Linked DNA regions of Saccharomyces cerevisiae S288C. Changing the gene in region 2 together with the main gene of any one other region gives a genetic interaction. Each region holds a gene or a part of one and is shown on either strand. Other genes may lie near its edges.

Region 1 (14,939 bases), on a different chromosome or scaffold from region 2:
AAATTCGCAAAATGGCCTTTCTCCTCCTAAAAGCTGATGAATTCAAATGGCTATAATAAATTAAGTAGCCCTACCCTAGTTTCTTGCAAAATTATTCTCCCTTACTTTTTCAAGCTTCCAACTCATTTCATGGTAGCAATGGCCGATCCTTTCTTCTACTTATTATGAAAATCTTTCAACCATAGTGCAATCTTCTATAATTGTACATACTTGTTTCTTCTGTGGACACGCAACTTTCTAGCGGAGTTCAAACCTCTTGGCTTACCTTTACCCATCTTTTCTTGTAGTTTGTTGTTCTTACCTGCTTCTGGAATCTACAATATTAAACATGTAAGCTTCATAACCTTACCATCACTAATAGTATCTCGATCTTGAAAATTGCGAAAGCGTGGAGACAAGGAGCTCCTACAAACACAGTCATTCCAATGCGGTAGTGCTTAGCAAAACCTCGGCTGCGCAGAAGGAGCTTTGATACATAGAAGCTAGCCCACCTACCTAGGCGCAAAAAACATAGCGGTGGGCGCACGTTGGTGGGCCTGGGAAGAAAAAAATTCCCTCGTCGATAATATAAATATGTATGGGTGTTTGGAGATGTTCGGATGTTACTTTATGCATGTCCTTTTTATTAATATTAATGTTGAAGCAATATCTAATGAAGTATATATAGTTCACAATATTGCTTATGTGAAAGATAGTGGAACATTGAGAATATTCAAGGAAAGAGACAGGAGGATTCGAGAAATGACAACAATTCAGCCTTTTGAACCTGTCGATTTATTCAAAACTAACAATGTCAACCTTGATATCTTAACAGAAAACTTCCCTTTAGAGTTTTATTTTGAATACATGATAATATGGCCAGACCTTTTTTTCAAAAGTTCAGAAATGACTGTTGATCCTACATTTAAGCATAATATCTCTGGTTACATGATGGCAAAAACAGAAGGCAAGACCACGGAGTGGCACACTCATATAACTGCAGTGACAGTAGCTCCAAGATTCCGCCGAATATCGCTAGCTTCGAAGTTATGTAATACTTTGGAGACCATGACCGATGTCATGCCCCATGAAGTCAACTTTATCGATCTTTTCGTCAAGTGCAATAACCAATTGGCCATCAAACTTTACGAAAAATTGGGATACAGTGTCTACAGGAGAGTGGTGGGATATTATAACTCAGCTGAAGATGGGTATCCAGATACCCTGAAAAAAGTAGATGACAATAAAGATGCTTTTGATATGAGAAAAGCTATGGCTAGGGACAGGAACAGAAGCGTACGGCCGGATGGAAGAAGCCATAAATGCTATCCACATGATGTAAGATTTTAAGGTATGTATTACCTCGTCCTCATACTCAGAACATAATAATGAACCTCTGTGCTATTCATATTTTGCGATACGCACTAAAATAATACTATCCAGAGGCGCGGACTATAATACTATTAATTTGATTTTTGTATGTACATACTGAATGATATACTTAATTTACATAGAAACATCATTTTAAAATTCAACGTTGGAAGGAGGTTGCGAAAACTGGTTGGCTGGTCTGCTGTACGAGTCGTTTTGGTTCTGATAGGCGCCACTATCATTTTGGTAGTTATTTCTGTTTTGGTAGTTTCCACGTTGGCCGCCTCTTCCTCTGTTTCCTCTGTTTCCCCTATAATTTCCACGCCCACGACCGAGGCCTCTAGAGTGAAATCTTGGTCTGGCAGAAGCTTGTCCAAAGGTGTCAACGTTCAACATTTTTTCTTCTTGCCATCTCATATTGGTATTAGTTTCAGTAGAAGTGGAGATGGTGTCGAAAAAAGACGATTTTTTATTATAAAACTGCTCATCAGATTCATCCTGCTTGTGAACAGCTGATTCTAATTCTTTTTCTTTTTCCACATCAGTGGAATCACCTTTCGTGAATTTTGCATTATTTGATTGAAAGTCAAAATCTTCATTCGGAATATCGACTTTGAAATTGCGGTTGGATTGAGGAGGGCGATTACTTGATCTATTCTTGTTTCTTTGATATTTTGGCTCATTTTCACCATTTTTACCTCTTTCCCTACTTTGCGAGTTTACATTGGTGTCTTGAGGAGTGCTCTTATCATTCATACTAGCAGTAGCGGTTTCTGTCGAAGTTGGGGTGTAAACACCATATCCAGCGACAGCTGCTGGCACATTGGATTCGGGCTTTGGAACTTGGGGGTTTGTTTGCACGTGTGCTTGAGCTTGAGCCTGGGGTGGAGATTGAGCTTGTTGAGGAGGGAATTGTGAAGCGGGTGGCATCATTTGAGGAACAACCGGCTGTATGTCATTGATGTTAGCATCTAAAATGCTTAAATCCTTGACTTCACTGCCGTTGAACTTTACAGAATTGTATACCGTAGGATTCGGATAAATTTCTTCAGGACCCCAGTTCTTGCGACCTTCTGTACCAAAACAGCGAACTTCTTTCAAAGTCACGGTACCCTTTTCAGAGTCAATATCTTCTAACAGCCCCACATATCTGTTGTCAGTCACAGAGATTAAAGAAATAGTTTTACCGATGTACTGCGACATTGCCTTGCTGCTGTTTTTCGATGAATGCTTCTTCTACGACATCCTCACTATTCGTTTATTGTTCTTTCTGACTGCCTCCACGTTATTCTTTACAATCGCGGGTACAGTTTAATTTTTCCACCGTGTAAGGTGACGGGACTATGGTACTGGACTGAGGAATCATTACATATACGTCAGTAATGGGTATCTTCATAATAAACACCTTTATCCATTTAATATGGAAATCGATTGCACTGTCATTTAAAATAGCGGCATCTATGATACTTAGAGGGCAATTGCATTGATAGAAGTTGTGTCATTTGGTGTTCTCCTCGGATCGAGTTTTAAATCCGATTTTTGCATCTCGGTCCGAGTGACTATTTCAGATAATTGGTAAATATAAGAAGAGCAAGAAGATGTGCAAAAAATAGAGAAAATATGATGCTGCGTAAAAGTACAGACACCCTGGAAGCTAGGCCAAGATTGTTACGAGCATATCATCAATGTTAACTCTAGAGTCTGCATTAACTGGCGCTGTGGCTTCGGCAATGGCCAATATTGCAGTTTATCCGCTGGATTTATCGAAGACGATCATTCAGTCACAAGTATCTCCTTCTTCAAGTGAGGATAGTAACGAAGGTAAAGTTTTGCCCAATAGGAGATATAAGAATGTTGTAGATTGCATGATAAACATATTCAAAGAAAAGGGTATTTTGGGTCTGTATCAAGGTATGACAGTCACTACGGTGGCCACATTTGTCCAGAATTTTGTTTATTTCTTTTGGTACACATTTATCAGAAAGTCCTACATGAAACATAAGCTGTTAGGACTGCAATCACTGAAAAACCGCGATGGTCCTATCACACCTTCTACGATTGAAGAATTGGTACTTGGGGTAGCAGCTGCCAGTATATCGCAACTTTTTACTAGTCCCATGGCTGTGGTAGCTACAAGACAACAAACAGTCCATTCTGCAGAGTCTGCCAAATTTACCAACGTTATTAAGGACATTTACCGTGAAAATAATGGGGACATAACTGCTTTTTGGAAAGGTTTAAGAACAGGTTTAGCATTGACGATAAATCCTTCCATCACATATGCCTCTTTTCAAAGACTTAAAGAAGTTTTTTTCCATGACCATTCCAACGATGCTGGCAGTTTGTCAGCAGTGCAAAATTTCATTTTGGGTGTCCTTTCCAAGATGATTTCGACTCTAGTTACGCAACCCTTGATTGTCGCTAAAGCAATGCTTCAAAGCGCTGGCTCTAAATTCACTACTTTCCAAGAAGCGCTACTATACTTGTACAAAAATGAAGGGTTAAAATCTCTTTGGAAGGGAGTTCTTCCTCAATTGACAAAGGGTGTCATTGTGCAAGGTCTGTTGTTTGCTTTCAGAGGAGAATTGACAAAATCTTTAAAGAGGCTAATATTCTTGTACTCTTCTTTTTTCCTAAAGCACAACGGACAACGCAAGCTGGCTTCCACTTGAGAATCCTTACTATTACTGAAATAAGCACATTGCGTTTAGAATCTTTACATATCAAATTTAAAATTTATATAAACAATGGAGATTCACTTTTTTAACCTTACGCCATTTCGTATCTGTCACCAACAGTATGGAAAGTAGTCAAATATTTGTTAATGGCATTGAACTCTTGATCGGTAAGTTTGGTTTTCTGTTCATCAAAGTTTTCATTAACCTTGGAAATAGAAGAGCCACTTGGAATTGGGATAAATTTGGCGCCACTGTATTCCGGAACTTTGTTCCAGTGCTTAACCCATCCCAAAGCCAGTTGTGCAAGAGTAATGGAGTTGTTTTGTGGGCGCTTGTCGACTATTTCTTCCTGTAGAAACCTGACCAAGGTCAGGTTTTTTTTCAAAGACTCGTCGCTAAATCTCTTTAACGACTTTCTAAAGTCACCCTCAGGGATATCAGCGTTTGACTTCAATTGACCTGTCAACAATCCTCTGCCCAGTGGGGAGTAGCAGATGATGGACAACCCCAATTCAGCACATGTTTTAGCAATTCCGTTGTGTAAAATGTCATTACTGAACAAAGAAAGTTCCACTTCAACGCAGGTCAAAAACTTTCCCCAATCCTTGTGAATAGCTCTAATTTGCTCTTCATTAACTTCACTTAATGAAATACCGCCAATAACGCCTTCGGAGATCATCTCAGCAAGCGCTTCGAACGATTCGTAGGGGTAGACCTCTCCTTTCGTGCATAGGGAAGTGTCGATTCTTGCGACTTCGAAGATGTCGATGTAGCCACCAATAGCACTAACTGAATTCTTTACGCTTTGTACAACATCATCGTGACTGCCTCTGGGGGTTAAGGTAGCATTGTCTGCACCACCTTTACAACTGATAACCACATCCTTTCTCAAATCTGGGTATTTCGCAAAGAAGTCGTGAACATACGACAAATTAATAAAATCGGGACCATAGAATTCACCAACGTTGAAAAAGGCCTTGTGCCCACGTTCTCTGGATAACTCAACCACTCTGTGCATGGCCTCGAAAGCCTGCGACTGAGGGATAGGCTCGGCTCTCCAAGTCAAACTCATTAAACCATAGCCAGTATCTAACTTGTGGATGTTGTTTTTCAAATCGGCGACAGACATTTTATTTTTACTTTTTTTGGTGTATATTTTAGTTAATATGTACCTGTTTTTCTATTCTACATAACATAGAAAATGGCAAGGAAAATAATTTTAAGAGAGAGTCCTGAGATGAAGTAAAAAATTTGGTAAATTGACAACCCCTTATATAATAAATGCCTATTCTACGGTTCAATAGACACTCTATTCTTTGAGTAATTTTGAGGGAGAGCAGCAATGATTAACTTAGTACCGTTCTACCAAGTACGCCCTTGATTACCTCATTAACGAACAAAAACGCAGATCCCTTCCTAAGGCGGCCGAGACGGCCGCTTCATCCGTCTCGGCCGGGTGTCATTCTTCTAATATATTTGGTAAAGGACTTGGGAGATGCGCAAAAGGGAGATAGTTGCGCTTTTTTTTTGTCTAACAACTAACGGGTAAAAATGTGGACAGCACGAGGAGTAGTTTAAGAAATAACTTTAAAAAAAAATATTGGCAAAGCAGATATGCAAGAAGTTACGGGTAAGGCTTCTAGTAGTCGTGCATGTGTTGATCCCCTACGTTGATACTATCTATGTGTGCAAACACCAGCTTTACAAACAAAAATTTCATATAGTAGTGTATTTTATTTATCTTATGTACAAAATCTATAGTAGAGTTCACTACATTTTCTTTTCATTGCTAAAAAAGCAGTTTCGTGCAAGTATGTATAAAAAGAATGTTGGCGAGAGTAGCGGAGAGTGTATCGTGCGGTTTAATGGGCCAGGTGAAAACTGGGTTACTTCTCTTTGATGGCAGCGGCTTCTCCGATAGGCTTGGTGTCATGCGGTTTTACGTCTGGAGCAGCCGCATCTATGTTCTTGTCTTGGTCGTCCAAGCTCAACTCATCCTTGACGCTCACAATGGCGTTCTCTTCTTGCTGCTCTTCTTCCTTCATAATTTCTTCTTGCTCCCTCAATTGTTTCAATTTTTGCTTAGCGGATGCCTCATCTTCCTTAACGACGTTTACTTTAACCTCATGGTATAGTTCATCAGGGATACCGATTAAAACGTCACATAATGCGTCGTACAATGACTCCTTTGATTGCACATTACCGTAGTTATAGGCAGTAGCCATGATTAACAGCGTGGATGGGATCTTATCCTTGAGCCTCATGTTCAGCCACAATCTTAGATTCGAATATAACACGCTAGGCTCTACGTCTACACTTCTAATACCTCTGGAGGCGCATGCTGTTTTCAATTCAGAGAGGGAGAGTTGTTCTGCATCCTCGTAATATATAGATAGATCATCTTTTTTCAATTCAAGCATTTTGTATCTGATACGGTAACGTAGCATCACATCAGTGCCGAATGGTTGCAAATTCATATACTTCGCTAATGCAATCAAGTAAGGTCTTGTCACATTATCCAATACAGTATCATCAGTGAATAATCTAGCTACTTCGATTAGCTGTTGACGAGACTCCGGCACTCCTGTAGCACGGACATGTGTGTAGAACCTGTTAAACAAAGCTTTTTGTTCCTCGGAAATATTATTAGGTTTAAAATGGGACTTGTTATTCTTTATGATTTCAGACATTAACTTCCTTGTGTTTCTTAAATTTTCTAGTTTATTCTCGCGTTTTTTACTTGATTCATAAGTAGAAGGAAGTAAATTGGGGAATAACTTTAATGCAAATGGAAGAAGAAGTTCAGCAAAGGGTATAATGAGGAAAGCAGCAAATGGAACCAACCGAACGATATCTTGAGTAGTTCTTTTCAGTTGTAAATTTTCTCTTCTCGTCAATGGGTAGCCTGCAGCACTCTTCATGAGCAATTTGGAAGAAATTTTTATCTCCAACCCCAAAAGTTTGGAACCATCCCAATAATGACGAAGGGCTTTTTGCATCTTAACCTTAAAGGGTACTTTTTCCTTCTCTTTTACTGGAGAGACCTTACTCGCACTTTCTTGGTTTCCGTCTGTCGTTTTTAACTCCTTTTTCGAGCTTTCTGGCACCGAAGAGTTCCAACGATTGAACTTCAAATTAAAAGATGGTATTACTCTCAACCTGCTTACCATAATACGGGGAGAAATTGGAGTAATTCCTGGTGCCGGATGATGGATTGCTCTCTTGATTGGCAAAGACCTGTATTTCAGCATTGTGTCTTGTTGATTTCTTTATGAAATTTTCTTTACTCGAACCTAAATATCACTGGCAAAATACTTTCAATTCGACAAGTGTTACTTTATGCAGTTATCTTGTTATTTCGAAAATTGCCACTTTGCCAATTAGATGAGACTGACACGATCTGAATAATGTCCTCTTTCAAATAAAAGTGGAAAATGTTCGCGCGGAAGCAATTCTGTCCAACGAGAAAAAAGAAACGTGGGAGACAACGGTAACTCGATGAAGGCAAGCAAGTATCATTTTTAACACTTCACTCTTATTATTGCAAGGTGGTAATATAGTTAAGGATTTTTGAATTAAAATTACTTAGACATTCAACTATATACAAGTCTGTTATTTATAGGAAGGTCGCTGTGTCTATTATTTTCTTTCCTCTTCATGAGGGCATTAGAAGTATCCATTTTGAGATTTTTTTTGAGCTTCTGAGAAATGAACGATATTCTTATTTTGATGTATAGAGATATTGGAAGAAGAAGATATAGGTGGACGAACCTTGTCTAGTTATTAGTTATGAGTGAATTTTTCGGCCGGAAGTAAGTTTTGATCCATATTCCCGGACTGTTCCTGCAACTTGGAATTCTCAAGGATGTCGCGCTCTATGTTTGCTTGATTCTTTCCTGAGTCTGTGGCACAATTACATCCCTCTTCTTGTGTAGGTGTTTTCTTTTGATTATTTTCGGAAATCGCAACTTTAGATTCGTTGTTCTTTTCCAGGCGAGTACTTTGATCACTTCCGGAAGTGGTATCGGCAACAGCAATTGGATCAGGGCTGGGTTCGGGATGTCTACCACATTGGCAGTTACCGAAGCCAGGACAGCTCTTCGCTTTCTGAATTTCTCTTTGGATGTCCCACCTCTTTAGCATGGCTATTTTGCATCTATTGAAGAAGACTTCCGATAAAGCTAACCCAGTAATTACAGCAAAAACGTATGTTAAAACAAAAGACATGGTAGCAAGCATCAACATATAAATAATCATCGTAGAGGTAAATACTAAGAACGCCCTTATAATGTCATGAAAGAGATCCATTAAAGATGGAACAAATATATCGCTTAATAAATTTGGCAGCTTAGGTAAACCTTGAATTTCAAAATTATTCTCTGTGTCATAATGTTTTCCTTCGTCTTTGGAGTTTGCTGAAGGTAAAGTGGAATATTTATTTTGCTTGTCCCATTTTTTAAACCAGTGAACTTCAAGGCACCAACTAACGAAAAGCAGTAGTTTGTAGACGAAAGCAGCCACAACAAATAATAAGAAAATACCGAAAGCCTTACCACTATTGTTTGCATGCAAATGGTGAAACAAAACTGGATAGTTTTTATATGTGGGAGTCAGATAATAGTTCATTCCCATACTCATGTCCATATCCATCCCTGAAGAGCTACTGTTATCAGACGATGACATACCTGACATGCCTGACATGCTAGAATCAGAAGTTGTCTGTGCACTGGCGGAGCTTGTTGGTGTACTGCTCATCGACATAGACATACCTGACATTGAACTGCTTCCCATCGACATACTTGCCATTGACGACATAGTCGACGCCAACGTTTTGCTCGCACTGGACATCGCTTCCATGCTCATCGATGACATGCTCGATAATATCGTTTTGCTGGCACTAGACATCGCATCCATGCTCATCGACGCCATACTCGATGCTACTGTCTTGGATGCACTAGACATGGCGTCCATATTCATGCTGCTACCCATATTCATACCTTCCATTTTGAATGTCAAATATAATACACTTTTTTTTATTTTCTATTCGATTCTTCCAACAAATGTAATTTGAGTCGCCGCCGAACTATTACTCCACCTGTTTAAGTTTGTGCTTAAAAGTTTTGTTATGCAAATAAAGCTATGGAGTAGTTGTTTATTAAGAGCACACTGCGTATCTGTTTTACTAATGTGAACTAATCATAAGAGGAATAAAACATACAAGACCCTCTCGAGATGACAATACAACATTTTTTATGTTGCATTTTGTAGCCCGAATCTTGAAAAGTGCTCTTTTCAGGATCGTGCCATTTTTGCTCATTTTACCGTCGTCTTGAGCAAATATCCCATGATTTGCATCAATACATGAGAACATAACCACAGTAACGAATAGTTGAGGTGCAGTTTCGATCCTTAAAAATTACTGAATAATTCATATGCTATTTAGGGAAGTATTTACGTATCGGTTTGTAGTATAGTAGGGAAATGTGCCAAGTTGCTTAGATAACAAAAACGTGGAAAGGCTGGAACGAGCAAAATACGGTTCAAAATGCGGCCTTGCGGAAAAAGTTTGGTTCAGGAAGCTCCTGAAGAGGAACAATCGGACTTGTGTCGTTGTTCCAAAATTTTTCTATTTCTTGTCCTTCACCATCTTGGGAAGAAAACCCTAATATAGAGCCGTATCTCTGCTTAAGATTCATTCCGATGATTTTCAATATTTCCTGCAATACAACGGTTCCGAGCTTGAAAACTTCATTTCTCCTACGAAAATAAGTAAAAAGGTTCTTTACAAGTAAAATAGGATTTCCCTTTGAATGTTCGACAATTTTCTTCAAGTCTTCATTTTTTATGGCGAATCCGTTTATTTTCAGAAAGGCCTCTAGCTGAAGGAACATTTTCCTGCTTGCAATTTCCTTCTCTGCCATTGGACTTGTGATCATTATTGATAGCTTACTTCTTTGAGCGGAATATATAGAGATTTTGGACTCGAAGAATGCTAAATATTTCTTTAGAGTTAATTTTTGCAAAAATGAGATATCAATCATTTCATGATCTTCTTGAAAATTAAGCCTTCCTTCCGCAATTTTATTTCTTACCTTCCTATGTTGTCTCATTTGTTTATTGTTGAGAGTGTAATTATCACCATTTTGCACATTTGCCACTATCTCATTTAATAGGTCTACAGGACCAGCCGACCCTTCAAACTGTTTCGTACTGTTCTGTTTTAAAAGATTTAAGAACGGCTCTAGAAGTATCCTTCGAAAATCAAACTCGGTGAATCTATTTAGCACCTGCAGCTGCAAGTAAGATAAGTACTCATTGATCCTAGTTTCCAGATTGTGCCCCGAGCTGCCAGACATTACGGTTATATGAATCCCAACAGTGTCTGTTAAAACCCTGAGTCCTCCCAAAACAATGTACCCAATTTGCTTTTTATTTCTTAGATCAGGCACTAGCGTTAGTGAAAATAGATATTCGGTAAGAAAGGTTAGTGTCAGATTTTTGATGTCATCTCTTTGTGCAGTCTGAATAAAATACACAATACTATTGTTGGGATCATCCTGGTGACCATTATATGATATAAAGGCATTTGTGCCTTGATCTAGATCTTTTGTACTGGGAGGAGGGTAGAGACGTATGGTCGGTTTGCTCCCTTCATTGCTGATTTTTAGGTGCTGCGTAAAATTGTTATTTAAGTAACGGTTGATTGCGTCAGCATATTCAAGGCTTCCCTGCATGAACAAGACCAAATGTTTAGGATTCCTCCAGAATAAAAAACAAAATTTTTCGAAGGATTCCAACTCGGTAAGCTCTAATGCATTAATTCTATCCTCTAAAGTCCATATATATTTCTCTAAAACAATCAGCAATCCAACGCTAGCTAGCTTCACGCAGTTGTCCGATGACGCGTTCTTGTATTTATTTCTAACTAAAATCCTTGCCTTTCTCAAGGTATCTTTAGAAAGAAACGTTGGATCTGTTGCAATAAGTTTTAGCGTATCCACGAACGTCTTTACTATTGTGAAAACACCCTCAGGGAATCCAGAAATAGTAAATCGCAGTGTTACGTTGCCCTTACTAGATGAGGCAATCTCATATGTGTAACCAATTCTCAGAGCGGGATAAAGGAATGAAGAGGTGATGATAAATAATGCCTGTGCTAGTACTTCCAGGTGGATTGTTGCCTCCGGACTAGGTTTGATGCCTAACCCCAAAACTTCAAATGATACGACGGATTTATTGTCTGAGGCAAAATTTGGGTCTTCTTTTAAGATCCACATCTCATAATTCTGGTTCTCACTGACTAATTGAGGCTTTGTCCTAGTGGGCTCACTATAAATTTGAGGTCTAAGCGTAGCAAATTTCGATTTTAACGAGCATTCTAAGAAGAGCTGTTGTAGTTTTAAAGGATCGCTGACGCAATCTGGTAAAAAAAGATTACCTGTGGGAAAATTAAATTCATACGAGCTGTTTGAATGAAATTTATTATCACTTGCTAGATGAACGTTTGCCGTATAATACTCAAATTCATAGAAAAAATCGGTGCATATATCACTTTTATTTTTCATTTTATCAAATATATTACCAGATTTTATATTCCCTAAGAGTAAAAGGCGCATGTTGTCATGATTCATGAAAGATTTTAAAAAATTTTGGAACTTAATAGCTTGCCCTGTCCACCATTGTATATTGGCCTTTGTGTTTTCATATTTTTCGATGTTGGGATCATCTATTTCTATAAGAGATTTAAATCCTTTGAATATATTAGGGGGGGTTAAACATTCTAAATCGTCCTGAAGAATACCGCTTAATTTTGAGCACTCTTCCATTGGAAGATCCTCTGAACTTTGGTACAGAAAGCTAACGAGGTCGATCAAATTCTGTTCTTTCAAAAAAGTGATTAAGTAATCGATGTTCATTACGTAAAAGGAAGGCAAGAGTCTATTAAGTACTATTGTCGTAATTCTCTTAATATTTTCCCAGCCACTGTTTGTCAGTTCTAATTCCAAAATTAATCCTATGTCACCAATAGCGAATTCTGAGGTAAAGGCAAAACAGCCTGTGAGCCAGCCTTTTGAAGCTAAGTAATAGCTCAAAGATCCTGGAGACTCATCGCCGAAAAGTTCACACCAAAGATGACTGTATATTTTAATGTCATCCTTTGTAAACCGAGTGTTTTTATCGCTAACAGGAAAGAGAAGTCTCATTATAGGTACCTTATTTGAATTGATAAATATCGAATTGCATTCAGGAAATTGTTGAAAACACATCGTATTTTTGTATTTTTTTTCCCACGTTGTGTTCAGTATTTTAAAGGTTTTCAAGTCACTGTAGTCGTTTTTGGAAGAATCTTGGCGTTTTTTTAAAGACTTCGATCTTCGAAATGACCTCGTCCTAATCGATATACTCCTTTCCTTTACAGCGCTTTTGGGTTTTATATCGCCAAATTTTGATAGAGCTAGTTTCGTAAGAATATTAACAGACTGCGGTCCCCTTATGCACAAGGTTATATTCTCCCCAAAAAAATTATTTTCGAAGTAAGTGTTTAATGAGCTCTTTAGTTTTATTTTTTTCAGTTGTGGAATGCTAGATAACGAGTGTATGTTCCCAGTGGAAAAGCGACTGAAAGGATGGTCGGGATTGGCCAATATTCTTGCTGCGTGGTAGAATATTTTTGTGGTTGATGATATGTTTCCCTCATGCTCACTTTGTATTGCATATATCTCCTTGCTTATCAGTAAAGGGTTGAAGAGCGGTTCTTTGAAGAATGAGGCAAACACATCTAAGATAGATTCAAATGTAAATTCGCCGTTATTTTGAGTATTGGGCAATTCAAAATAAAAAGTCGTTTGCTCCCCTGTGGTAAAGGCATTTTGAGAGCCGTTGTTTTTTGCGATTAGTGTGTGGAATAAACCAGGATCAGGGTATTTTTTGGAACCGGCAGAAAGAATCATGTGCTCACAAAGGTGCGCCAAACCGGCAATATCCTTTGGATCGTTATGGGAACCTGTGCAAACAGTCAGTGAGCATGAGCTTGAAGTATCTGTTGGATCCGATATTATTAATGCTAAAATTCCGTTTGGCAGTTTACAAACTTTATGAGTCCTGTTGCTGTAAGACAACGGGATGTAAAACGAGACTTCATAATTAGTTACTTCTCTCAAGGACATCAGTAAAAAAACTTATTCAGTTGCTATTTTTTAACGCCAGGCACATTTATATTATATAATCAAGACACAAAAGGATAAAACAAAGGTGTTAACTGTTCTGCATACTCACCAGCGTAAACTATCCTGAAAATCGTGTAAATAAGTGTTTCATTTTTTTCTTGCAGTGAAAAAAGGCATGTAAAATACCGCATCAAGTAACTCCGCCTGCGGTTTCAAGATTAACGGCTTGAGACAAAATGGGACACTTACTCATGCAAAGTGGGAAGAAATGATTGCAGAAAAACCATATGTGTAACAGAAAAAAGTTGGATAGTGCTTACCAGATGTTTACCTTAATTTCTTGATGGATGAAAGAAGTATAGAAGTTTTACTATTAATCCAACCATCGGAAATTTGTATAGGAAAGTAGTTTATTGGAGTTATTGGATATACTGTGTAAACTATTTCTCGAAATGGTGTCCTTAGATTCTCTTCTTGTTCTATTGAAGAAAAATGGTATCCTTTTTTTAGACAATGTATCATAATACCATAATACGAATACTCTTCAGTGACGATAGTCAATTCCTTCAATTTAGCAAATTTTTAAGGTAGAACAACATACGGTTACAATATATAAGCAGGCACAGAAAGTCATACTGCTGAATTAATGCGTACTCGAATAATACCGGGTATCTAACTATATACGTTTTAATATTATATTGATATTATTCTGAGGCAACTATATTTCCAACACTATATTTTATTTTTCCTTTATTAATCCAACTCGGAAATTCCTTCCTTAATATATCGAGTCTTACGTGTGCGATAATGCGAATGTTCCGTATGTTGGAGTTAAACTCCTATTTCATGGACTAGCGCTCATGCCACTGATATAATGTCATACATGCGTTATGATATTACATAAACGATGAGAAACAGCCGTCGACTTTGGTGGAAGCAGAAATGCAAAAGTTGATAATATAATAGGATTGATAGTGAAATAGGATCGATGAATAGACCATTTAATACGTAAAAAGAAGAAACTTTTTTGTTATCCCGAAATTTTTGTTTCCTTTACGAATTTATATATCTTCGAGAAGATGTCTTAATATACTCTAAATAACTAATAATGCACTCTTTATCAGAATGTACCTCGAAAAGTGTTCAGCAAATTCAAGCAATTGTCAGAAATAATGTCGGAAACAATGGTTTTTGATTATCTGCGCATGTACTATTGCCAACAAGTAAAATGTTTCCACTGTAAATACACAAATCAAACTGTTTACGTGACATTGTACAATTGTAGAATAAGAAAAATGTTGAGCATTCCGTTCAGATAGTAATGAAAAGCAAACTAAGATTTTTGTAACGAATATCAACCTGAAGTTAACATTTATGGAGTATCAATACTTACATTGAATCTGCGGTGAATTGACCAACCTACTATTATATTATCAATGGATTTGTTTTAGCTTTTAGGAATCTCTGTCACTTTGATTTATATTATAAACATTGCATGGTATTGTACCCTAGCAGCAAATTCAAAAATGTATTAATTTACCATGCTAGCAAATGGAAACAATAGTTAGTCATCCTTCTAGAAGTTGAAAAAATGAAATGAACATAATTTATATTTCCAAAGGATCTCTTTATAAATTGATATAATAGCGAGAAATCCTTTTTTCGTATCGCTAATCTTTTGCGTTTATAGTTTATCATTTCTGTATATGTATTTTATATATTCTGTTAAAAATATTGTAACTAT
Region 2 (17,074 bases):
GCTGTCGTTACTGGTTTTAGCACGAGTTACCGACTATTTTGCGTTTTTCTTTTAAATTATTTTGTTGTCCCTCTTTATCTTTTGCACTGACGCTTTATTAGCCACTAATTAGAGTATCCAGACATTCTTTTTGAGATCACTACTACTTAATTGAAGAAAACATAACCTATTGATATGTCCACCCTTTTTCTGATTGGAATACACGAGATTGAGAAATCTCAAACAATTGTACAGAATGAACACTATTTTGATAGAGTGATTGAGCTTCAAGATTTGGATTCTCTGATGGTAGCATTGTATAAGGACAGAGTTTCGCCTTTTCCAAACGTCCATAACTTTGAAACGGGCGTATCTATAGTTCTTTATGACCCTTCAAAATTTCAATTATCTGTGCGACAATTGGATGTTCTATTCAAGCGATTTTTCCCATCTTTCAATATTTCTGCGATAGATCATACACGAGAGGAAAACCTGCAACGTCTTGAATGTGTTGAGCGTGAAAATAGCATCTGTCGTAATAGAATAACGAGAATTAACCACTGGATGTATCACCATCATGATGATACTCCAGACGGTATTAACAAAAACAGCTATGGTACTGTAAATGGGAATTCTGTCCCCACTCAAGCATGTGAAGCAAACATTTACACTTTATTATTGCATTTGAATGATTCCAAGGCACAACATTTACGAAAGGCATCAGTGCCAAGGCTAATTCGCAACATCGAGTTTATGTCTTTTTTGTCAGATCCAATAGAAAAAATTTCTCAAGAGGGATCACATTATTGGAACATTCTATCAACTTGGGACTTTTGTGCTTTATCATTAAGCACTCAAGAATTGATTTGGTGCGGGTTCACGCTTATCAAAAAGTTATCTAAGGATGCAAAAGTACTCATTGCAGATAATAAGTTACTGCTACTACTATTTACTTTAGAATCATCCTATCATCAAGTTAACAAATTTCACAATTTTAGGCATGCCATCGATGTCATGCAAGCCACATGGCGATTGTGTACATATCTTCTTAAAGATAATCCTGTACAAACATTACTGTTGTGTATGGCTGCCATAGGTCATGATGTCGGTCATCCTGGGACTAACAATCAACTATTGTGCAACTGTGAATCAGAGGTTGCTCAAAATTTCAAAAATGTCTCTATCTTGGAGAATTTTCACAGGGAATTATTTCAACAATTGCTATCAGAGCATTGGCCTCAATTGCTATCTATCTCCAAAAAAAAATTTGATTTTATTTCCGAGGCTATTCTGGCCACAGATATGGCATTGCATTCTCAGTATGAGGATAGATTAATGCATGAAAACCCAATGAAACAAATCACTTTGATATCTCTAATTATTAAAGCTGCAGACATCTCTAATGTGACGAGAACCTTGTCAATATCAGCACGTTGGGCATACCTCATTACTCTCGAATTTAATGATTGCGCTCTTTTGGAAACATTTCATAAAGCTCACCGCCCAGAACAAGACTGTTTTGGCGATTCATACAAGAATGTTGATTCTCCGAAAGAAGATTTGGAATCAATTCAAAATATTTTGGTGAACGTAACAGACCCTGATGATATTATCAAAGACCATCCGCATATTCCAAACGGTCAAATATTTTTCATTAATACGTTTGCTGAAGTATTTTTCAACGCATTAAGTCAAAAATTCTCAGGATTAAAATTTTTAAGCGATAATGTCAAAATCAATAAAGAATACTGGATGAAACACAAGAAACCACAATAGCAAGAATATCAAAATTTCTTGTACCATTCATTGTATAAACATATAAATATATACATTTACTACTAGTATATTTCCTTTTGTGAAGTATTTGTGCTAAAATTCATTACCCATTTTATTTTTTTTTCAAATATGCGTTCTTCCTTTAATATTGTATAATAATAACCCAGTTGATTATGGCTATTGTCTGTTTTAAGTGATATATATATATATATATAGATACATACATTAAATTTATTTTTCTTTGATTAAATTAATGTTTTTTAGTATAGTGATACATATTTCCCGAGTTAAAAGTTAAGTAAATAGTTTTATGCCATTAAACGGTGCAAAAACAGGTGTAATCTAAAATATTAAACTCCATAAAAGAAAACGTTAAAATTACAAAATAAATGAAATATGTTCCCTGTGTTGGTATATGCAAAGTAAATAAAAATTAAATCTTTATGCAACGTCAAGACAATCAACTTTATTATGCCAGATTTAATAAGCAGATCTATCAATTAAATCACGTTCTTTGTAATCAATAACGATTCCAAAAGCCTTCAACAATTTTCTCCTTGCACCCAAGGCAAGAACGCCTTTTTTTTCTAAAGTCTCGTCATCTAAGTAAATCAATTCGATCCACGGGGTTCCGCTTAAGGCATCTGAATACTTGTGTAGTCTTAACGATTTTAACCACATGGGTATATTTTTTAGTAGCTTGGGGTCTGTCAAACTCTTTGGATTCATCGAAGAGTTACTCGATAAAGGAGTGTTTCCGTTAGATGATGTAGATGTCGATGTGGCACTTGTAGGACCAGCATTAGGATGCGTAATGGTATTATTGAACACGTTCTGGTTGGACTTATTCAAATCAGTTCCTGATGGTCTTGAAGTATTCGAAAAATATGAGGTGGTATTATGCAGAGGATGATGCAATGAATGATGGTGATGAGAATTGTACTCATTTCCCATGTTAGACCTTTTCTTTGGTTGGAAAAAAGAATGGGAACTTGAGAGAGAGTGAGAAAGATAGTTGGGATTCTCTGATGGCAACTTTTTATATTTGGTACTGTTACCGTTGTTGAATTGTTTCTGGACAGGAATGAGATTTGGGCTTGAATTAACATGAGGCTCAGCCGACTTGGACCTTTGACTAGCGTCGGTGATGTTGTCATATATGGGTTGGCTAATTGGTATTGAATGTGGCTGAGGGGACCAATTTTGATACAACAAGTTATCGGTATTTTCAGGGTCATTAGTTATAGGACTTGAAGAAAAGACTGAATCAATATTCAAAATTTGTGTGTCATCCCTATTAGGTATAGGTGATGCAATTGCAGGTAGCGGTGGGGAGATGAAGGGAGTGTTTGTCAAAGTCTCTATTTTTAACTTAGTATATTTCAAAACATCATCATTCAAAATGGAAAGGATATTGTCCATTACAGTATTTTGTTGGCTGCTGTTCAGCATGGATATCCAAGAACATAATTGGTTGATGTCTTGGCTGAAATTGGTGCCCATGTTCGGATCGTTTTTTTGGGATTGAGACTGTTGTTGCGATTGACGGGATTGCGGCAAAGGAATTGAACCACTCTGCGATGGAATACCCAAAATATTATTTGGAGATCTCTGAAATGAATCCAAATACATAGATGTTGAAGATAAAGTAGATTGCAACGCCTTTGGAGATTGCATCATGGGGGAAACGATAGCAGAACCAGCTGCTGTAGACGAAACTGTTTGAATATTAAGGGAAGGCAACGACGCCTGCTGTTGCTGTTGTTGCTGCTGCTGTTGTTGCTGGAGCGGCTGAGCCCTGGTTCCCGCAGTGTCTAGCATAAAGGATTGCTGATCAAGCATGTCATTGAGTGACATACTATGGGATTGAGGGGACAAAACATTCGCGGTCACGGATGAATTGCCCTGGTTATTGCCAGAATTGCTGCCCGGATTGTTCTTGTTTATGGCAGAAGATTGTGGTGATAGCAAAACGGCGCCTGGATGAGCTCCTCTAGACATGTTATATGGTGACTTGGAACCTGTGGGGAATTCCTCATACGGATGTTTCATGATTTCTTTGCTGACAATTACTTTATATGAACAGTTTTTCTCTTCTGAAAACAATATCTATAGTATATACAGTGATCTAGATTGCCCAAGGGACGAAGTACCAGTGTGACTGCAAAACACAATGTATTCGAGACAATCCTATGGTAGTAGTAGTAGTCGTTGTTAGATATCTCATCGCCAATTTGCTACCAAACTTATTCTGGAAAAAAATAATGAAAAAAATTTGCGTTTTTTCTTTTTCCAACAGATAATTTGCTGTGGTGCACGGTCAAATGGCAGCTGTATAACCATTAACTCTCTCATTGTGGAAGAGGTCTTCTAGGCACAACATCGATGAGAAAGTCAAACATGTCACTCTTTTGCAGGGCCTCTGCGATATCTGCCTTCTGCAAAGTTCGTCTTTTATTCCTTTCTGCCACGCACCAAGCTCTCATAGTCAGTTCTGTAATAAAGATCTCACAGGCTTTGGCGAAAATGATGGGGGCCTCTGCACTAATCATCTTGACATCTTCATCCGTCTTCATGACCTTGCGGATTCTCGCAAATGGTAAGGAATGTGATTTGAAGTCATCTTGATGCTCGGAACCAGGTTCATTCGTAGACTCGATCTCGTTGATTAATTCTTGCCAATAACGGATCATTATCTCCTTGTAGTGGCCCACCAATCCCTGACCAACGTTCCTAAACACATCATACTCTTCATCGTCCTCGTCCATTTCTCCGTCTGCGCCGTCGCTGTTTCCATTATCTTCGCCTTCAAGCGATCCTCGACCACTTGGCGGTAGATTAGCTTGGTCATGGCCCGCCTGGATAGCTTGCAACTCCTGTACCATCCGGAACTCTTCCTCAGAAACAGGTAGCCTCGTATTTTCCCCTTCCCCTTCGTTTTCTTGCAGTTGTTGCTGTTCTGAATATTGCCTTGGCATATTCATTTCCTCTCTCTGAATCATCGTACTGGGTTGCGGTCCCTCCGGGAGCGATTCTTGAGGTCCTTGTCCTTGTTGTGGTGAGAAATTCCTATCAGTCATTATGCGAGTAAACAATCCTGATGCTGCAAATGCGTCACAACTCTTACATTATCTCCTATTCCCCTCTATTCTTCTTCTTTGCTTACGCGGTATTATAGCAGCTAAGGAAGCTTAATCTCCGGAAGCAATCTTAAGGGAGCCGTCCCACGCAAATTTAAGTTTAACTACGGAAAAGGGAGCACAACACTCTTCGATTTTGACATTTCGGGATTTCTACACTCTAGTAAGTATTGCGCTAGGAGGGACCATGATTTACTATGAGGACTTGGCTATGGGGTGCTCAGAATTGCATAAGTGAACTCGAGGATAGCTTTGGGCACTATCACGTACTAAGTGATATGTATTGATATGTAAACCTGCAATGAATGAATGGATTAAAACGGATCTTAATACTGCATAAAAGAGGACGGCAAGAACAGCTGAGAAGCGGTACGCATCTACACAAAGTATGCCAAGAGAATTCAAATCCTTTGGGTCTACAGAAAAGTCTTTGCTGTCAAAAGGACATGGAGAGCCTAGTTACAGCGAAATATACGCTGAGCCTGAGAACTTTTTAGAGATTGAGGTGCACAACCCTAAAACTCATATACCAAATGGGATGGATTCGAAGGGGATGTTTACAGATTACGAAATAATATGCCGTACAAACTTGCCAAGTTTTCACAAGAGGGTATCGAAAGTAAGGAGACGATACTCAGACTTTGAATTCTTCCGCAAATGCTTGATCAAGGAAATTTCTATGCTTAATCACCCAAAAGTCATGGTACCTCATTTACCGGGTAAAATTCTCTTGAGTAATAGATTTAGTAACGAAGTCATTGAAGAGAGGAGACAAGGTTTGAATACCTGGATGCAATCGGTAGCCGGGCACCCGCTTTTACAATCTGGTTCTAAAGTTCTCGTGAGGTTCATTGAAGCTGAAAAGTTTGTCGGCTGAAAAGAACTCTTTTACGTGAATAAATAATATAGATTATATAAAAGAATGAATAGAAAAATTTAAATAAATAATGAATAAAATAATTAAATAAATAATGAATCCTGTGATTAAGTTAGCGTGTACTTTGGTCCATCTCCACCTTCGGGTACTTTCCAAGTAATATCTTGTCTGGGCGCCTTAATATCACAGGTCTTGCAATGGATACAATTTTGTGAATTGATTTGCAGTCTCGTACCCACAGGCGATTTTTCATCTTTGACGAATTCGTAGACACCTGCTGGGCAGAACCTCGATTCAACACCTTTCCAAACGGGAAAGCTTCTCTCGGCGTACTTTACCATATCTTGTCCAGGAACCCTCAAGTGACATGGTTCATCATCATCATGGTAGGTTCCGGTTCTAGACACGGAGGTCAATATATCAAAGGATATCACACCATCAGGCTTGGGGTATTCTATCGGTTTGTACTTGGAAGCAGGTTCCAAAATTTCACCGTCATTTTTTTCATCAAATTTCAGTGTCCACGGAACTTTTCCCTTCAATATCAAAGAATCGATTCCAGAGTAGATCATACCACCATATCCACCAAGTTTCCCGCTGAAGGACGGTCTAATATTACGCACTTCGTATAGTTCCTTATATATCGATGATTCTTTGAATGCACTTTCATATGATTCCAAGTTAATAGTTGCCTCCTTATCAAACATAGCCATTTTGGCGTCTTCGTCTTCAACCTCTTCTAAGACAGGTAACCCTTTTATGGACTCAAAGATACTTTCAGCGGCAAGTAATCCACTCTTCATCGCAGTATGAGTACCCTTGATCTTTGGAACGTTCATGAAACCCGCGCTAGCCCCTACCAAAACACCACCAGGGAAATTCAACTTGGGTACAGATTGCAGTCCACCTTCATTCAATGCTCTTGCAGCATAAGCGATACACTTACCTCCTTCTAAAACTTTTGAATAGTATGGATGATGTTTCATCTTTTGAAACTCTTTGTAAGGTGAAACATAGGGATTCTTATAATCTAACCCCACGACAAGGCCCACAGTGACCAGCCCATCACCAAAATGGTACTGGAAACCACCGCCATAAACATCATTTGTCAACGGGTACCCCATGGTATGAGCTGCAAATCCCTTGTTAAAATTCTCCGGCTTGACTTCCCAAACTTCTTTAATACCTAATCCATAAGTTTGGTGCTGTCTGCCTTTTCTTAAATCATATTTTGCCAAGGCTTGTTTTGTTAAGGAACCATGACAGCCCTCTGCTAATACAGTTTGTCTAGCCCAAAATTCCATCCCACGTTCGAAGGTTTCCTTAGGCTTACCGGACTTCGAAATACCAGCATCTTTAGTAATTACACCCTTAACGGCGTTGTTTTCATCATATATGAGATCCGAGACAGCTATTCCGGGGTAAACTTCAACTCCTACTTCTTCTGCCTTTTCTCCTAAATATCCGACGACTTGGTTCAAAGAGACAATATAATTACGTCCTTTATTGATCATTTGAGATGGTTCTGGAACGCTGATCGCCCATTTCCCCTTTAAAAATTTCAAATGTTCTTTAGTTACCAACGTAGCTAACTCCTTTGGTAACGGAATGCCAATGTCAGACTTTTCATCAGGGAATAGTTCTTTCCACACTCCCGGTTCCAATATAGCGCCGGAAACAGTTTGTCCACCCAATACACTGGATTTTTCAAGAACAACGACACGCAATTGGCCTGTTCCTGACGAATTGTCTAACTGTTTTAATTTGATTGCTGTTGCTAATCCCGCAGGCCCTCCTCCAACTATACAAACATCCACATAGTCGCGCGCCCTTGGTTCATTTAACAACTCTTTCTCTTCTTCAGTAAGATTTGCTTTGTTCAAAAACCTACACGACAAGCTAAACTTTCTCGTCATATCTGTCCCTAGAGCCAAATGACGAGATTTTGCGGAAATCGTCATTCGGATCCCTCTAATTAAGTTCTCGTTAGTGAACTTAATCATTTTCCCTTTCCCAGAGTGGATTTTCCTGTCTAGCTTAAGTTTGTTCTTTTATGTGGCCTGAAGTAACAGTAAGTATATAACGTATTGAATAAATTAATTAAGTGGGGACCACTACTACTCAGTCCGCTTGAAAAAGTTGAATTTTTCAGTTAACCTTTTCTTTTCTACAGTCATGGCAAATCGCGATCCATTGGTAACAAAAAATAAAGCTTCCCGCAAATTTCGGATAAACTAACTGTGGGGTAAATGAAGATCAATCCATATATATCCGGAATAACCGAAAACAGCCAAAAAAAAAAAAATTACTGTCATTAACAGTAAATTAGTCCACCTCTAACGGTTTAGTTGTTTTTCATTTATTTATTTATGGTTGTTTATTTATTTAAATATTGTAGTGAAAGTTAGAACTAGCTAAAAATTGTCCAAATGAGAGGAACACATATTATTAGTTGATAAAAAAAAACAACGACATAGGTGTAGAGCAGCCGTTATGCTCTTGTAAAGGGAGATAAAAATCAATTGAATATATTTTCTAGGTCATCTAATGTGATTGATTCAGGAGATTCAATATCATGTGTCAAAAATCCATTTCTCACAATTTTCATCCAATTCGTAACTTCGTTTCGTGATTCTTGGGAACTTGGGTTTGATTCTCTTCCGTTATCCTGACTGGAATTGATGTCGGATAAAGATTCAGCAGAAGAAGCAGCTGCACTATTAACTGGTGAACTACTACTACTGTTATATTGAGAGCTCTCTGAAGAGCTCTCAATTGGAGTCTGTGTAGAGATTACTTTATGGATAGCAGCCAGTTCAGAAGAGCTACGTGAATTTTTCTTAAACCCATTTTTCGGCAAAAGCTTAGAAAGCCTTGGTGCAGCGGCAGCGGCAGTAACATAAGTATTTGACGATGCATTATGCGACAGAGAAGAATCTGGCGAAATATTCTTGGAGCTTGCAAATGTAGAAAGAGATGCAGAGGAACCCTTTTTGGGGGTGGATAAAACTGATAAAGATTGGGATTTTGTTTGTTTGCCAGGTTTAGTAGTTTTGGTTTTCTTTGGCTCGGTCATTGACTCGTTAGTATCTTCATCCATGTAATTTCTTTTTTTATTATTGTTTTTACTCTTCGATGCCGAATTAGGTGTCAGTAATTGTTGCTGATTATTACTCATCGATGGGGAAAGATTTAGTGACACTGGAGAAGTGGAATAAGGTATGTTGAATTCTGGACTTAATGAAAAGGCCAGATTCCCTACATTCAAATTTTTTGAGAAGGAACTGTTAGAAGACATATTTTTCATGTCCGTCATAGAACTTGAATAACTGTCATTGTTAACTAGCTGGTTACTGCTGGACTCCCTTTTTTTCTTGCCATTTGAATTAAAGTCGCTTGTATCACCGGAGGTCTCCAATTGTTGTTTAAGTTGCATCGTAACAGCTTGAGCATGCTCCTTGTAATCGGGAGATAATATGCCTCTGTATATATAGAGCATCCTTCTAGGAGATGAATTAGACCATTCCCTTGATAAAGCATAAGTTAACGTTTTCTCACCTTTTTCAATTTTTTTAACATAAGCGTTCAGTTTTGCGGAAATTAAATTTGACAACTTGGTTGATAAATTGGACATATCTGGATGTTTTTGCAAAAGCAAGTCACACAGTTGTTTGACGGTCATGCCTTGTTGATTCGGATCCATTTCCCATAATATTAAAAAAACTGCGTGAAGAACGTCATCATCCAGAGGGGAGTCTCTATTTTCGGGTTTTGGCCTCTCACCAGTAACAGGTATTAGCTTAGAAATTTCTAATAATGGATTGTCTTTTTTGGGAGCACCAAAGTCCTTCTTAGGTTTGGTAGCTTTTATTTCCTGAGATGAGGAAAACGAAGAACCGGCCAAATTATTATCATCAAGGGCCATGCCTGGCTGGTTGCCGATAAGATCCGTGCCTGGATTCGAAATAGTGTCAGCTCTAGTTGTAAATCCCATTGAATTCAACTGAAATACTGGAGAATTTGAGTTATGAAGAATTTCATTCTCTAAAGTTGGTATTTGCAAAGGTCTGGAATTTGCCAATGCCATTATAAGTTCTTCTAATCAATTTTTTTATATGGTTTTTTGTCTTTTTTCGTATTTTTTTGTCCTTTTCTAAAATACTATAGCAAAGCAAAAAAAAAAGTAAAAAAAATTTGATTTATGAAAAGTTGAAATATCCTGGAAAAATTAGTTAAAACCTCCCAATATTTCTGTAGTTATTGATTGATTGCCCGTTTATTTTCTATTTTGCTGATATTGTTTCTGCTAACGTTTCTTTATATAATCCCGCTTGCTGACACAGAAGTGACTAAAATAGGGTAAAAAGGGAAATTATTACGAAAAGGGCAGTCCAAAGCAAATAAAAAACAATGGAATAGAAAATAAAAAAAATTAAAACTCAAAATAAAATGTATTCCAATGTAAAGGAAAAAATAAAATAATAGGAAAAAAGAAACTATTATTTTAAAGCCTTCAATAATGGAATGCTGAAAAGAAAAGTTATGATTTTGGTAATTTGAGTCAAATAGTCAATCAATGACTTTTTGTTTTTGGTTTTTCAGAAATAGAAATTACCAAGAACCTTAATTGATAAAAAAAAGGGGAGCTTGAAGGGAATACTGATAATACAAACAATATCGTGTAAAAAAAACCTACGTAAAAAATTAAATCAAGCCAAGCGAGAACAGAAAAAAAAAATGAAGTAAAATATTGGACTGGAATATGAAAATTTTAGAAAAAGAACTAGCCGGGATAAAAGTACAAGAAAAGGAGAAGAAGAAAAATTTTTGACTTCTCATCGCATGGGTTTTCAGAAAATTTTCTTATCAAAAATTTCATCGGGCGTATGATTTTCGTTTTTTTCTGCGTCGTTCCTTCACAAAGTATCGAAAACCCCAAACAAAAAAAATATAAAAAAAAAAAAACACCCTTGCACCCATAACATACGGCGAGATGTAAGGTAGGTATAGCAGACTTAGATATTGCGTGCGAATCAGTTTGATTCGCAAGTAAAATCTTCATGCGCATTAGTATAGAGCGTTGGAAGCAGTTAACATAGTATTTCGGTTTTTTTTCCCTTTCATAAAAAGGATTCTTCTTCCATAATCCCTTGCGTGAGTTGAATATGAATGAAACTCGTTGAACTAGTGAACAACAAGTGATTGTATGCTCATATTTAGTACTAACATTTCAGCATTGTATAATCCTTTCTTTACTTTCAGGATAAAGACATACATTCTACGTATGATCAAGAGTAAGGAACAAGAATATTAAAAAAAACGAGATGAACCTTGAGTATATATATATATATTTACACCAATGTGCCCTACGAAAATAGTGAAAAAAAAATTTCAGTTGCAACCGCGTTTTGTCCGTTAGTATCTTTTGTCCGTACACCTCGTACTAAAAAAGAAAACCAGTCCAAAAAGAAAGTCAAACGGTCCAAATCGGAAACACCGACGCTCAGCTTAATAAACATTGTGTAGAGCCAAGCGGAAAAGAATACCATTTAGCCGCCGATGCAGAAAACCGGTATATAGAGCTGAAAACAAAGATTGAACTCTCCAGACAAGTTAGAAGTAAAAGCAAGTAATATATAAGTTTTATAAGTGAATATTCGGTCGAAGGTAGTGTCAAAGTTACATCACCAAAACTACTTACTATTGAGGAAATATCAGGTGTGCCAATACGTTAATTGATCTGTGAATAAAAAACGAAGTTGGAACATTGTATTACCTTTCAAATATGCCATAAAAGGTTGCTCGTCGACTAAGTAATTAATCGATTATAAGAGGGAAAAAGCGGGGTAAGTAAAATGTAATATCATCATATACGATATACATACCGCCTGTGGAATCGTTCAATTGCTACACATGTCTAACTAAGGACGTACTGTCTATATGTTTGCTTAAGTTGGCTCTGCACAAAATAATATCAGAGCCTTCCACTGGGATACAGATGCTTTCCCATAATGCTTTAAGGGCCTTTGATTGTTCAAAGGTGATTATTTCACGAAGATGTCTAACCTCTTCAACATCGATATACCAACAAAGCAGCGTTCACTTACAAGAAACAGATGATGGACATTCAGGAAATAGAGAAAAGCACGTCTCACCGTTTGAAAGGGTACAAAATTTGGCTGCTGATTTGAAGAACGAGTTGAAAGCTCCAGATTCAGATATCAATGAAGTTTTTAATGACTTTAAAGATAAGATTGAATCGTTGAAACAGAAATTAAGGAACCCTTCACCTATGGAAAGATCACACTTGTTAGCGAATTTTTCTTCGGATCTCCTACAGGAATTAAGTTACAGAAGCAAAAATATGACGCTAGATCCTTATCAAGTATTAAACACATTGTGCCAATACAAATTGGCACGCTCACAACATTTCACGATTGTTTTAAAGTACCTTCTATATAATCAATCACCACAGGACGTTATTGCCTTATGGGTGAAGTACTTGGAAACCATTTCCGAAAACCCAGTGATCTTACTTCAAAATAGTTCTTCTCGTGCACATATGCAAAATATTGCAATTACCACCATTGCTTACTTATCTTTACCAGAGAATACTGTGGATATCAATATTCTGTATAAGATTTTACAGATCGATCGTAAAATGGGCCAGGTTTTACCTTTTAACATGATTAGAAGAATGTTAAGTACAGAATTTAGCTCTCTTGAAAGAAGAGACGTGATTATCAAAAATCTAAACACTTTGTACTATCAATACACAGTACAGGATAGTGATCATTTCTTAAGTCAAATTGAAAATGCTCCTAGATGGATAGATTTAAGGGATCTTTATGGCCAATACAATAAACTTGAAGGTGAGAAAAATGTAGAGATCATAAGCAAGTTCATGGACAAGTTTATTGATTTGGATAAACCCGACCAAGTTGTTACTATTTATAACCAGTATAGCAAGGTTTTCCCAAATAGTACGTCGCTGAAAGATTGTCTTTTAAGAGCTGTGTCGCACTTACGAGCTAAATCGAGTAAAGAGAAGTTGGACAGAATTCTAGCAGTCTGGAACAGTGTTATCAAACCAGGAGATAATATTAAAAACACATCTTATGCGACGCTAGTTAACGCACTAACTGATTCTGGAAATTTCAACCATTTAAAGGAATTTTGGGAAGAAGAACTTCCTAAAAAGTTCAAGAAAGATCCCATCGTGAAGGAAGCATTTCTCCTGGCCTTATGTCAAACTTCGCCTCTAAAGTATGACCAAGTCAAAGGGGAGTTAGCAGAGACTGTTAAAACCAAGAAGTTGTTCAATAAAGTTTTATTGCTAATGTTAGATGATGAAAAAGTGAGCGAAGAACAATTCAACACATTTTACTATAACCATTATCCATCAGATGGTGTGTTACCCCCTACTTTGGATACTCTAAGCATTAAAATGTACGCTAATTATAAATTTCAGGCAGAAGATACACGCCCACAATTCGATCTATTGCAAAGTGTTTCCATTAATCCCACCGATTATGAAAAGGTTGAAAAGATTACGAAAGCCTTTATTTCAGTGTGCCCCACTGTCGAGCCGATTCGTCAACTTTACAAACAATTGGGAACTCACTTAAATGCTAGGAATTATGCAGACTTTATTTCCGCAGAGTTTAATAAGCCTGACGGCACAGTGGCCGAGGCAAAGAATTTGTTTTCTGATTTTCTCTCATATCAAAAGACTAGAAAGAGAAACGTGGATAATACGCCTCTAAATGCTTTATTATTGGGGTTCTGTGATAAACTTTACAAGAGTAAACATAGCGAGTACGTTCCCTACATCGAAAAGTACTACAATCTAGCTAAGGATTCAAGTATCAGGGTGTCGAACTTGGCCGTTTCGAAAATTCTATTCAACTTGGCCACATTTGCACGCAATACTCAGCAGTTATCTGACAAAGAGGTTGCTTTTATTAACCAGTTTATGCGAGATTTAGGCACTAATGAGGGTTTTCGTCCCAACCCTAAGGATATTCAAATTTTAAAAGAATGTGATGGAATTACTGTTCCAGAAAAGTTGACTTAATACACTTGTCATAAGAAGACAATAAGAAAAGCTCAGAACCAATTTTCTGCACATATGATGCTGTAACTATATAATGATTTCTTGTATATAACTTCCGTATAATAGTTATTGCTTCCATGCATGATTCTTTCAAAGAACAATACAAAATAAAAATAAAAAAAAAAAAAAAAAATGAAAAAATGAAGCTACAAGTCGGGTAACAAAAAGTATTTCAAGATCTCTAAATATAAGTGGGCAAATAAAGTTAATGCCAAAACTCCATGCTACTTTTCACCTGAACTTATTGGGGGGAGTTAAGTCTATAAGTATCCGTAACGTATGGTAGCGACATCTTCAAAGAGGACGTTGGATCCGAAGGAGGAACATTTGCCTGCTGACAAAACATCCACTAATTCAAGCAACACTATAATATCTGAGTTGGCAACACAAGAGAAATCCAGCTCTAGTGGTACTACACTAAAATTAATAGCTCTTAATATCAAGTCCATATCAGATGAAGATGTGGGATATATCCAAAATGTTGAAAGACTGTCTTTAAGGAAAAATCACTTAACATCCTTACCAGCGAGTTTCAAGAGGTTATCAAGGCTGCAATATCTGGATTTGCATAATAACAATTTTAAAGAAATCCCATATATTTTGACACAATGCCCTCAATTAGAGATCTTGGATCTGTCCTCCAATGAGATTGAAGCATTGCCAGATGAAATATCATCGTTTTGGCAAGATAATATTCGTGTATTATCATTGAAAGACAACAACGTTACTAGCATACGTAATTTGAAATCGATCACAAAATTAAACAAGCTGAGCATCTTGGATTTAGAGGATAATAAAATACCCAAAGAAGAGCTTGACCAAGTACAGAGTTATACTCCATTTCATACGGGCATCCCCAAAGAAGAATATTGGGCAATTGCGATATCACGATATCTAAAAGATCATCCTAACCTACCTACTCCAGAACCTAAAATATCTAGAGCAGCGAAAAGAATGGGATTCATAAATACGAACTTGTCTAATGGAGCAATGAATGAAAACAATATAATTTCACTTGCCCCAAGTGCAAATACAACTATAAGTGCATCTACTGCAATGGTCTCATCTAATCAAACCTCTGCAACATCTTTCAGTGGTACAGTCAATGCAGAATCAGAACAAAGTGGGGCAGTGAATGGTACGGAACTATACAATCACACCAAATATAATGACTACTTCAAGAGGTTGTCGATTTTACCAGAAGAGTCAATGAGTAACGGGCATCAAAAAATATCGCATGCAGAGTTGGTTGTTTCCTGTCGGAAGCTCCTATTTAGTTTTACAGAATGCCAACAAGCTATCAGAAAAATCGCCTCTTTCTGTAAAGAGAAGGCCGTAGCGGTTAATGTAGTATCATTATTATACTCTGTCAGATCACATACTGATAATCTGGTGGAGGTCTTGCAGCAAACAGAGAACGAAGACGAATCGCATGATCAGGCGTTAATCAAGCTGTGCCTCACTATCATCACAAATTTTAAACAAATTATAACATTGTTGAGAAAAAATTTTGAGATTTTTTTCAAAGAAGACGATCTATGCTTCATAAGGATGTTTTATATGACATTAATGTGTGCTTATATGGAAATGTATAATGCATGGTCTTTTATCAAAGAAGATGATCAAGTGTCCGGTTCTGCAAGTAAGGCACCCAAGAAACATTCTTTTTCGAGGCACGAGACATCGTCCAGTAGTATCACAAGCGGTGGAGGACCCGCAGCAAGTACGACCAGTACACATTGTAGCGGAAACATAAAATTACTGCCGAAAACAAGGAGCACAAGAACACCATCTGCATCTGCATTGCTTTCAAATAGTAATATTCTGACGGGTGATACCACTGCTGTTCCTCTTTTATCACCAAATCTAAATGGTGCACACACCCATGGTCCAATTTTGGGACACCAAAATGCAATAAGCAATGGAAGTTCTCAAACGAACATGAATGAAGTAAAAACTACTAGCGATACTATTCCAAGGCAACAGCTGCTTCAGCACAATAAATCCATCAGCGATTCGAAAAAAGAGTCACAGGCGCATGAACCTAAACAGCATCCGGTTATGACTTCTTCAATAATTAACGCATCAAATAGTAATAACGTCTCGAATGTTAATATAACCCCACCACCGATGAATGGTGGTGGTGCCGCGAACAGTAGTGCTAATGTAGTGGAGACAAATATTGACATTCAACTGTATCAAACGTTGTCCACAGTAGTTAAAATGGTGAGCGTTGTATATAACCAGTTAACTTCAGAGATATCCAAGATAGCCATTGCTAGCACCATGGGAAAGCAAATTTTGACGGACTCGCTAGCACCTAAAATTCGTGATTTGACGGAAACATGTCGTCAAGCGATGGATTTATCCAAACAATTGAATGAAAGGTTAAATGTATTAATACCGAACGATTCAAATTCAGAGAAGTATCTGACATCTTTGGAGAAGCTGAAAACGTGGGAGATAATGAATTCGTTCTTAAAAGTAATAATATCAATTCTGGCTAATACTAAAATCGTAATGAGCGACGTGCCTAATTTGAATGAGCTGAGACCTAACCTAGCCAACTTGGCGAAGATTACCAAGGATGTCACTGTGATATTGGACTTGAGTTCATACAAGGCTGTATCAGTAAGCGCCAACTCTCCGGAGTAATATAAAAACTTGCATTGTGAGAAAACGCGAACTTTAGAATACGTAATGGGAGGATCATATACCCCATGGTACTGAAATGTATGCTTTATATATATATATATATATATTTATATATTTATGCATGAAAAATGAGGAGTTCGGAAACAGAAGTTTTAAAAGTTACAGATTTATTGTATAAAAGATACACGCCACTGGTTGAATGTAAATGTTAAAATGAATTGGCATGGTCTAAAAATCCCTCGTAAATCTTGCTTAATTCATAATGGTAACCATGGATACCCTGGGATTCCAAAAATATGGGTAGGCGAACTCTTGTTCGTTCCGCGATACCTTTTAACCTCACAATATCAGTCCCATTCAATCCTGCTATGTTCTTGCTGGCTGAAGACGTTTTAGGGACTTCTTTGCAATTATCATTATCATCAGTTAGAATTACAAATATCCTGTCAAGGATGAAGAAGAGTTTGAATAATTTGGATAAAGTGTCATTAATCTCTGAGTCTTCCATATTTTTGAATGTAAATTTTTCAA

The links.
Region 1: mutations in GDS1 (region 2) and AXL1 together harm fitness more than expected from each alone (negative genetic interaction), as found in Saccharomyces cerevisiae (2 studies listed by BioGRID).

The regions. Positions count from the first base shown.
Region 1 is NC_001148.4:780,301-795,239, reverse strand, and holds AXL1 (Axl1p), read right to left. Parts: upstream 13,196-14,939; coding exon 9,569-13,195; downstream 1-9,568. Other genes in the region: 40S ribosomal protein uS12 RPS23B, read right to left, coding at 211-275; peptide alpha-N-acetyltransferase complex B subunit NAT3, read left to right, coding at 742-1,329; SCD6 (Scd6p), read right to left, coding at 1,504-2,553; ANT1 (Ant1p), read left to right, coding at 3,036-4,022; YPR127W (pyridoxine 4-dehydrogenase), read right to left, coding at 4,120-5,157; YLH47 (Ylh47p), read right to left, coding at 5,915-7,279; high-affinity Cu transporter CTR1, read right to left, coding at 7,812-9,032; THI22 (putative phosphomethylpyrimidine kinase), read right to left, coding at 14,939-14,939. UniProt on the Saccharomyces cerevisiae protein: Probable protease. Involved in axial budding.
Region 2 is NC_001147.6:997,922-1,014,995, reverse strand, and holds GDS1 (Gds1p), read right to left. Parts: upstream 9,860-17,074; coding exon 8,291-9,859; downstream 1-8,290. Other genes in the region: 3',5'-cyclic-nucleotide phosphodiesterase PDE2, read left to right, coding at 175-1,755; VTS1 (Vts1p), read right to left, coding at 2,236-3,807; HAP5 (Hap5p), read right to left, coding at 4,107-4,835; SNX3 (Snx3p), read left to right, coding at 5,284-5,772; CIR2 (electron-transferring-flavoprotein dehydrogenase), read right to left, coding at 5,880-7,775; MSC6 (Msc6p), read left to right, coding at 11,771-13,849; SOG2 (Sog2p), read left to right, coding at 14,168-16,543; TFIIH complex subunit TFB6, read right to left, coding at 16,752-17,074. UniProt on the Saccharomyces cerevisiae protein: Involved in nuclear control of mitochondria.